Linked DNA regions of Canis lupus familiaris. The protein of the gene in region 1 purifies or fractionates together with the protein of each later gene. This does not show direct contact. Links are inferred from orthologs where the notes say so. Each region holds a gene or a part of one and is shown on either strand. Other genes may lie near its edges.

The links.
Region 2: the proteins of NEDD1 (region 1) and TUBGCP6 purify together in Homo sapiens (affinity purification with mass spectrometry; 3 studies listed by BioGRID and IntAct, with this or other methods). This does not show direct contact. The link is inferred for Canis lupus familiaris from reciprocal best matches to the Homo sapiens genes NEDD1 and TUBGCP6.

Annotation. Positions count from the first base shown.
Region 1 is NC_049236.1:36,842,191-36,846,602, forward strand, and holds the start of NEDD1 (protein NEDD1), read left to right. Parts: upstream 1-1,348; 5' UTR 1,349-1,478; intron 1,479-1,707; exon of another isoform or gene 1,708-1,727; intron 1,728-3,852; 5' UTR 3,853-3,860; coding exon 3,861-3,996; intron 3,997-4,110; exon of another isoform or gene 4,111-4,269; intron 4,270-4,412. UniProt on the Homo sapiens protein: Required for mitosis progression. Promotes the nucleation of microtubules from the spindle.
Region 2 is NC_049231.1:17,930,041-17,933,474, reverse strand, and holds the end of TUBGCP6 (gamma-tubulin complex component 6), read right to left. Parts: coding exon 3,374-3,434; intron 3,290-3,373; coding exon 3,095-3,289; intron 3,014-3,094; coding exon 2,881-3,013; intron 2,816-2,880; coding exon 2,602-2,815; intron 2,517-2,601; coding exon 2,317-2,516; intron 2,223-2,316; coding exon 2,131-2,222; 3' UTR 2,116-2,130; exon of another isoform or gene 1,715-2,115; coding exon of another isoform or gene 1,541-1,714; exon of another isoform or gene 1,446-1,540; coding exon of another isoform or gene 1,289-1,445; exon of another isoform or gene 1,259-1,288; 3' UTR 1,160-1,258; coding exon of another isoform or gene 974-1,159; 3' UTR 525-973; downstream 1-524. UniProt on the Homo sapiens protein: Component of the gamma-tubulin ring complex (gTuRC) which mediates microtubule nucleation.

The DNA.
Region 1 (4,412 bases):
CATATGTAAAGTGGGGGACATATAATAGTATTTTAGAAGGATGACCTATACATGTATATATAGTATACATATACACATTATATCTATACATGCATACATATGTTTAGTAAAGTATGCATTCAACATCTATTTTTTTTTTTCAACATCTATTGTATACATTTGTTATATCAGAGTATATAACGCGTATTATATGACATATATTTTTATATTTCGTTTCACATAAATTCTACTTTCAATTTTCTTTCTGGCTCTAACTTTTCAGAGATTTAGTTAATAGTCCTTTCTTTCTCATTTGCCCCAATTCTCCCTGCCCTTATTCCCTTACCCTATTTCCTCATTTTCCAACTTTTTTTGGCTCCTATTCCTGTCAAAATTGGGTTTAATAAACTCAAGAACCGTAAACTATACACTTAAGGCAGTTGCTGCTTGCTATCTTTCTCCTTTTGAGGCTCCCCACCAATCTTTACAACTTGGTTAGAATTGCAACTTCTGATCTGAAGAAACGGCACTCAGAGTTTTTGGGTTTATTTGCAACATGGGTACAAATAACTGGGGCTTATGTACCTAGTTCAGAAACCCACTCCTACTCCTTCCCCACACTTGTGATGAAAGAATAATCCTGTTTGCAGAAGAAATGCCCTACTGTCCGTATTCTCAGCAAAAGTTATCAGAGCTACAAAAAAAAAAAAAAAAAAAAAAAAAAGAAAAAGAAAAAGAAAAAAGAAAAAGAAAAGGCCTTGGTATTTAAGACTCAGTTCAGCTCTTCTCTTTTCCACTCTGGGAAACCTCCCTTTCAAAAGCCTTCCCAACCAGGTGGTGTTTGATGTTCCTGACCCTGCAGCATTTTTAAGAAAGATCAATGATCAGGAAGCAAGACCATGGGTTTTGAAGTCAGATACCTCGGGCACTTACACATTTGGGTATTTTTTTTCGCTTTTCCGAGCCTGCCCTCTGGTTTGTAAATTGCACGGGGTATTATCTGCTCTCCATGGTTTCCTCTGCGATGAAATCTTTCCTAAACCCATATCCGTGCTCATTTCCCTTTCATCTATTTTTCTTCCCGGGTTAGCTTTCCTTTGAAGCAACGGGCAGTCCCGCTCTTCGGGTCTTGACTCTCTAAGTCGGCCTCGTAGCGAGCGAGCGTAAGCTCCCCGAGGCCAGGGCCGGCGGGGTAAGCCGCGCACGGCCTCCCAGGCTAACCCGTCGCCGCGCCCAGTCCCGCCTAGCGCCGGGGGCTCGGCGGGAGGGCGGCGAACAAATGCACACCACCACCGAGGCTGGGGCGGGGGGAGCCGCCGGGAGGCCGTTCCCACCGCCCGCGGGGACCGCGACCCCCGCCCCGCCCCGAGCAGCCCTTCCCCCTGACGCCACTCGCGGGCGGGACTTCCGGCCGCCCAAGTTTAACCGTCCGGGCGGGAGCCGGAAGCCCAGCGCCGGAGCGGGCCGCGCCGTGGCCCCCGGGGTGCCGCGGTGGAGAGGTGAGGTTCCGGGGGGCTCCGCGCGCTGCCGCCCGCCGCGTCCTTGCTCGCTCGCGAACCCCGCCAGCCTTCCGGCCACCCCGGGGAAGGGTCGGAGGCCCCCAGGCCCCGCGCGCCCCGGCCCGTCCGGTGCTCCGGACAGTTGTCGGGCAGGGGCCGGGGCCGCGGGGTTGGCGCGGAAGTGCCCGGGAGCCGCGGGCCGGGGGCGCGCACCTCGGTGGGCCACGGTCCCCGGCTCGGCCCTGAGAGGTGGGCGGGGTCGCGGGGGGGGGGGCGAGCGGTGACGGGAGTGGGGTGCTGTCCCCCGGAAAGTTGGCCGCCTCTCCGCCGGCCGCCTCCCCCTTGTAGCTCGCATGCACCTCGGGCTCGCATGCACCTCAGAAGGTAACCCCGGCTGAGCAGTTCTCCTGCGAGGAAAGTGCACTTCGGGCGGAGGAAAGTTGAAGAACTTCTGTTGCAGCGAAGGGCTGTGGTGGATTGTGGGTTTCCGCCCTGTAGGCGCTGCCCCTAAATTCGGGTGGGCTGTCGCCTGCCGCCTCGCGTCCTGACCGCTCACTTTGATGGGACCTTGTTGGAGACGCTGATGTAATCAGTGCGTCTCCGTTAGGAGGTGCTCGGCTCCCCGAAGGCGCAGGTGGGGCAGGTGCCCCCCCCCGTCCACTCGAAGAGAAGGGAGCGGACATCCAGTGACTGCCGCGGCCCCTGGCCCCTGACTTGGGGGCCGATCCTGTGAACCCACTTTTTCTCAGCCTTCACTTAAATGTCACCTTTCCGCGCTTACACCACACGGCTCAGCAGGAGGGTGTACGATTGTAGTGAAGACATTTTTTCCCCAAGTTGTGTGTACTGGGTTTAAGAGACCCCCTTGGCAGCATGCACTTGCACCTTGAGCAGGGAACCAGCCGCACGTTACCACGTGTCGAGGCCCCAAATCCAAACACGGCCGGTCTGCATTTCAACAGATGACTGTCGGCGTTTGGAAACATTGAACTTAGCAGATGCGTGAAGCATAATGAACCCCATACGTGACTGTCCTGGTTAACAAAAGTTTTAGTCTTTTCATAAGCACATTAAAAAAAATTCTTTTTTGTCTCTTGAGAATCAAGTGGGCCCCATAATTTATTACACCTTTTAACTTGGCCTCTGAAATAAGATATACTGGACATAAATGTGATGCTTTGTTGGTGACTTGGGACTCTGTGACATCACTAGTATTGTGTTGTAGTCTTAACACTCCACACCAGGAAGGTGTGGAGGGTATATAGTTCTAGGCCCTGTTCCCTTCCTTTTTTCCGTATATTTTTGAGCAATTTTTTTTTAAGATTTTATTTATTCATGGGAGATACACACACAGAGAGAGAGAGAGAGAGAGAGAGAGAGAGGCAGAGACCTAGGCAGAAGGAGAAGCAGGCCCCCCTTGGGGACCCCAATGTGAGACTTGATCCCAGGACTCCGGGATCAAGACCTGAGCCACCCAGGCGTCCCAAGCATTTTTTACTGACTGGTCTGGCATTGCTTCTACTTGCTGTTCTTGTGTATTTGAATTATTTACTGTGAACAAATAATATGCATGAGGGCATTGTAGAACAAATATTGGTATAGGGACTTAGTGACATCTCTTTTGGCTATATTTGCTAATTTTGGAGTTATTGGGAAAAACTGGAGTCATTGGATTCTGACCCGCAGGGATGTTACAGTTTATCATACATTTTTAAAAGACATAAGAAGTTTTCTAGCCAACAGTTATTTGATTACTTGTGTGCCAGGAACATTTCAAGACTGATCGTAAACAAAAGACAAAATCCATTTTCAGGATCTTTGTTTTGTTCAAGTCAGGAGAGGCAGACATTGTTAGGAGAACAAATAAGAGTTGCAAATAACAGAAGATGCCATGAAAAAAAAAGAATGAAACTGCATAAAGGGTAACTGGTATGGGCTGTGTTAGCCATGGCGGTCAGGGAAGGCTTTTCTGAGGAGACATTTGAGCTGAGACTGAAGTGAGGTGAAGGAGATGACCAGAGGAAATCTGGGGAAAGGACATTCCAGGCAGAGGGGGCAGCAGATGGAAAGACTAAGGCAAGAAGGCCTGTGAGTCTGGTGGCCCTGGGGAAGAGGAGTAGGACAGTTTCACCGGAGCCAGGTCATGTTAGGCATGCCAAGGAAGTTGGATTTAGCTATAATTGCTGTGGAGAGCCATTGGGAGGGTCAAATGAGAGAATGTGATTTTAGAAGGATCATTCCAGCTACTCTGTGGTGAGCATCCCTTCTGGAACAAAAGTGAACCAGTAGAGCCTCTTGATTTAGATTAGATCCTTCATTTTGGCCTGTCCTTGATTACTTTTTTTTAAAATATATTGTTTTGAACTATTTGTAGGTGCAGTCATGCAGGAAAACCTCAGATTTGCTTCATCTGGAGATGATATTAAAATATGGGATGCTTCATCTCTGACATTGGTGGATAAATTCAGCCCACACACATCACCACATGGAATCAGCTCAATGTGTTGGAGCAGCAATAGTATCCTTTTTTTTTTTTAATTTAATAACCACTTTTTGTTAGGTTAAATAACTGGTATCAATGAAACTTTTACATGTGCCTAATAAAAAATACATTTTGCATAGCTATGAAAGCTAGATAGATAAAGTGAAATAGAGGTTTCACTTTATTGTTTATTATAGGTGCATCCTAAAAATATATATATTTTATATATGTATAACTATTATAACTAGATACAGACCATATAATTAGTTTTGTTATCAACAGTTCATCATTGAACCCTAATGACATAAGGTAGGTAATGGTGAGAAAACTTCTGAAAGATTTTGGAATGAGTTTTCGCATCTACATTTGGCTATTTATGGATCTGGTCTGTATTAAAATTAAAGACAGAACTCAAAGGCAGAAGCGAAGTTGGGGGAGGAGATAAAAAATAA
Region 2 (3,434 bases), on another chromosome or scaffold:
CTGGCCGCGCTGACCGCACAGTGTGCCTCCCTGGAGGAGCTGAAGCTCGCCTTCCGACCCCAGATGGATCCCCGGTGGGTACCTGGGTCTCACTTCTTAGAATTTGCTTCCAGAGGGAGACCATGTAGACCCTGGGGAACGTCAGGGAGAGCTGGCCGAGGCAGCTTGAGCAGGGAGGGTTCGGGCCCCCGGGGGAGGGACGGCAGCGCAGCCACCGTAATGGGGAGGCTGGTGGAGCAGGCTGGGCAGCAGCTTCCCAAGAAGAGCTTGGGGCCCTGAGGCTCCCCCCAGCCCATGCTTTCCCACACTTTCTCCCACTGCGGGCAGCACACGGTGTCTGAGCCCACACTCAAACCCGGAAGCAGCGTGTTTTTAAATTTTATTCATGAGACCAAGAGAGAGGCAGAGACACAGGCAGAGGGAGAAGTAGGCTCCCTGCGGGAGCCCCATGTGGAACTCGATCCCAGGACCCAGGATCATGACTTGAGCCGAAGGCAGACGCTCAATCACTGAGCCCCCAGAAGCCCTGTTTGTGGGTTTTAATAAACAAGCCAACAGACTGTGGTCTGAGAGAATTTAGCGCAGCAGCGTGGGGGGAGGCTGATGGGATGGAGGACCAGCTGGTAGGACCAGGTCCCCCCCCCACCTCTTCTGCAAGTGGGAAGGACATGGCCTCGTGGCCACCATGGAGAAGCGGACGGCAGTGACCTTGCCCTAGGGAGAAGCAGGTGCCCAGCAGTAGCGAGATGGTGCCCTTACCCGCCCGTGGCACCTGCCCCCTCAGGGAACACGCGTCCCGTGACATGAAAGGGCTGCAGAGCCAGGATGAAGGGCCACCTCGCTGGTCAGGCCTGGGTCACCCCCTTGGGGGGCAGCCAGCTCTGGCACAGCAGAGCCACTAAAGCGGCTGCCACCTCCTCCGTGCCCCGCCAGCCAAGGGTGGGAACGCGCCTCACACTGCCCCTCTGCACAGGCAGCTCTCGATGATGCTGATGCTGGCACAGTCCAACCCTCAGCTCTTTGCGCTCATCGGCACCCGGGCGAACGTCACGAAGGAGCTGGAGCGTGTGGAGCAGCAGTCACGGCTAGAGCAGCTGAGCCCGGCCGAGCTGCTGAGCAAGAACCAGGGCCACTGGGCTGACTGGCTCCAGCAGTACAGGTGAGGCTACGGGCGCGGACTCAGGGCGCCATGTTCCCAGGAGACGCCACCCCGTGCAGGGAGCCCAACACAGGAGTGGTGCGGGGGAGGCGGAATCTGCTGGAAAGAACAACTTGGATGTGATTCCAGAGCCCGGCTGGAGAAGGACAGGGAGGGCGTCAGCGACGAGGAGGCCTGGCAGGCTGAGCGCATGCGCGTCATGCACGCCAACAACCCCAAGTACGTCTTGCGGAACTACATCGCACAAAACGCCATTGAGGCTGCAGAGAATGGAGACTTCTCAGAGGCAAGCTCACCCCCGTCCCCTCTCCGTCCTTGGGTCCCGCGGGAGGACAACCGGGGCAGGGGCAGCCCCTAAAACTCCTCTCCACCCTTCTCCAGGTACGGCGGGTGCTGGAGCTTCTGGAAACCCCTTACCACAGGGCCGAGGAGGCTGCTCGGGTCCCGGAGGCCACGGAGCCCGAGGGGGCCAGCGGGGCAGACAGTGGGGGGCACTCCTACAGCAGCAAGCCCCCACTGTGGGCGGCCGAACTGTGTGTGACGTGATCCTCGTAACGGCCTTGGAGGCCTCCACACATGGAGCCCCGAGGCCCTGAGGCCCCCTGAGTCCTTGAGGCGGGGCACACCTGTGGAAAGCCCACCCCGTCTCTCCATGACGGCCGAGACGTCCAGTCAGGCCCTGACCTGTCTCTGTCCGATGCAGACTCAGCAGCCCCACCCCACGCTCAGTGCACTCCCTACAGAAGCCACGTTGTGCAAGGACAAGAGCTCAGCAGAGGGAAGCAGGCCCAGGGGGTGGGGCCTCCCCACCCACCTTGCCACCCTTGGAGGGGCTGGCACACGTGGCTCCTAATGGGGAGACACAGCCCCCAATAAACCAGCCTCTCCCCCTGGCCCGTCTCCGTGTGGTTGCCCTGCCCGCCCCCTGAGGAGGAAGCGCCAGGGGTGGGGGGCACCTGTGCGGTGCAGCCTCAGGCATCCTGGTAGTAGTTGTTGAAGTTGATGCGCAGCAGGAAGTCCTCCAGGTGGGGCTGGTAGCCTCGGTTCACCAGCTTGGTCACCACTAGTTGGGGGGGGGGGGGGGGCAGCTCAGCCAGGCCCATGGGCTGGCTCCTGCCCACTGTCCCCAAGCCCACCCAGCCCTGGGGGACAGTCACCTTTAAAGAGGAAATGGGAGTAGTACTTAAAGGTGCTGTAGGACTGCTGCATGAGAGCGAAGTTGGGGTGCTCAGCACCCCGGGGGCCGCTGGCCGGGACCCAGGGCTGCGAGATGAGCTGACTACGGAACTTGAGGACAAGGCTGAAGATGCTGTGGATGACGTTCATAACGGGCGCAGCTTTCTCCGTCAGCAGGCCCCTGGGGAAGCAGGCAGCTGCCAGTGGGGGGCGCCCCCCACTCCCCCACGTGGCCCCAAGGAGCGGCCGCAGGCCCAGCGGCTCACCTGAAGACCGCCTTGTGCAGGTACTCAGCGTGCGCACGCTGGATCTCCTCCAGGTCGCCCACCTGCGCCAGCCGGGCACGGAACTCACACCAGGTGACGTGCAGGATCTGGTTGGCGATGTAGCCCTGGGTGACCTTGACAAAGTGCTGCATCTCGTGCTTGAACAACTGCAGCTGGCGGAACTGCACGGAGCCGGCGGCCTGGCTCACCAGAGCTGTGGGAGGGCAGAGGGTCAGCCATGGTGCCAACCGGGGCTCGCCCGGGGCCGGCTGGCCTCACCTGTGCGCTTGAGGTGGAAGCAGATGTCCTTGAGCGTCCACATCATCAGCTTCAGCTGCAGCAGGAAGGAGAAGATGCCGCTGTACCTGCTCAGGCAGCCCTCGGTGACCACAATGTTGAGGGGCCAGTCCACCTGGGGGTGAAGCCAGCTTAGCACGCCCCCCACCCGATGGGGCTGCCCCCCGGCTGGCCCCCTCGGCTCTGCCCTGCTGACCTTGTACCTGAGCTCCAGGCAGCTCAGGACGTCCGGGGCGTTGGGAGCAAACGCCTCGGGCAGGAACTTGAGGGCGAAGGACAGGTTGGCGGCATAGGGGGTGTCCCCGTGCAGGCTGTACTGCAGCGCCTTGCTCAGCACAGAGTTGAGCACCAGCGGGTTGAGCAGCTCCCCGGGCGTCTGCCCCGCCCCCAGCTGAGGCCGGAGAGAGCACAGGTGTCCCCAGGGCTTCCGGGCACCACCACCGCCCGACCCACCCGCGCGGGGCCCAGGGATCACCTTCTCAAACAGCAGGTCGCTGAGGGACTGTGCGAACTCTCCGTCCTCCATGAGCAGGAAG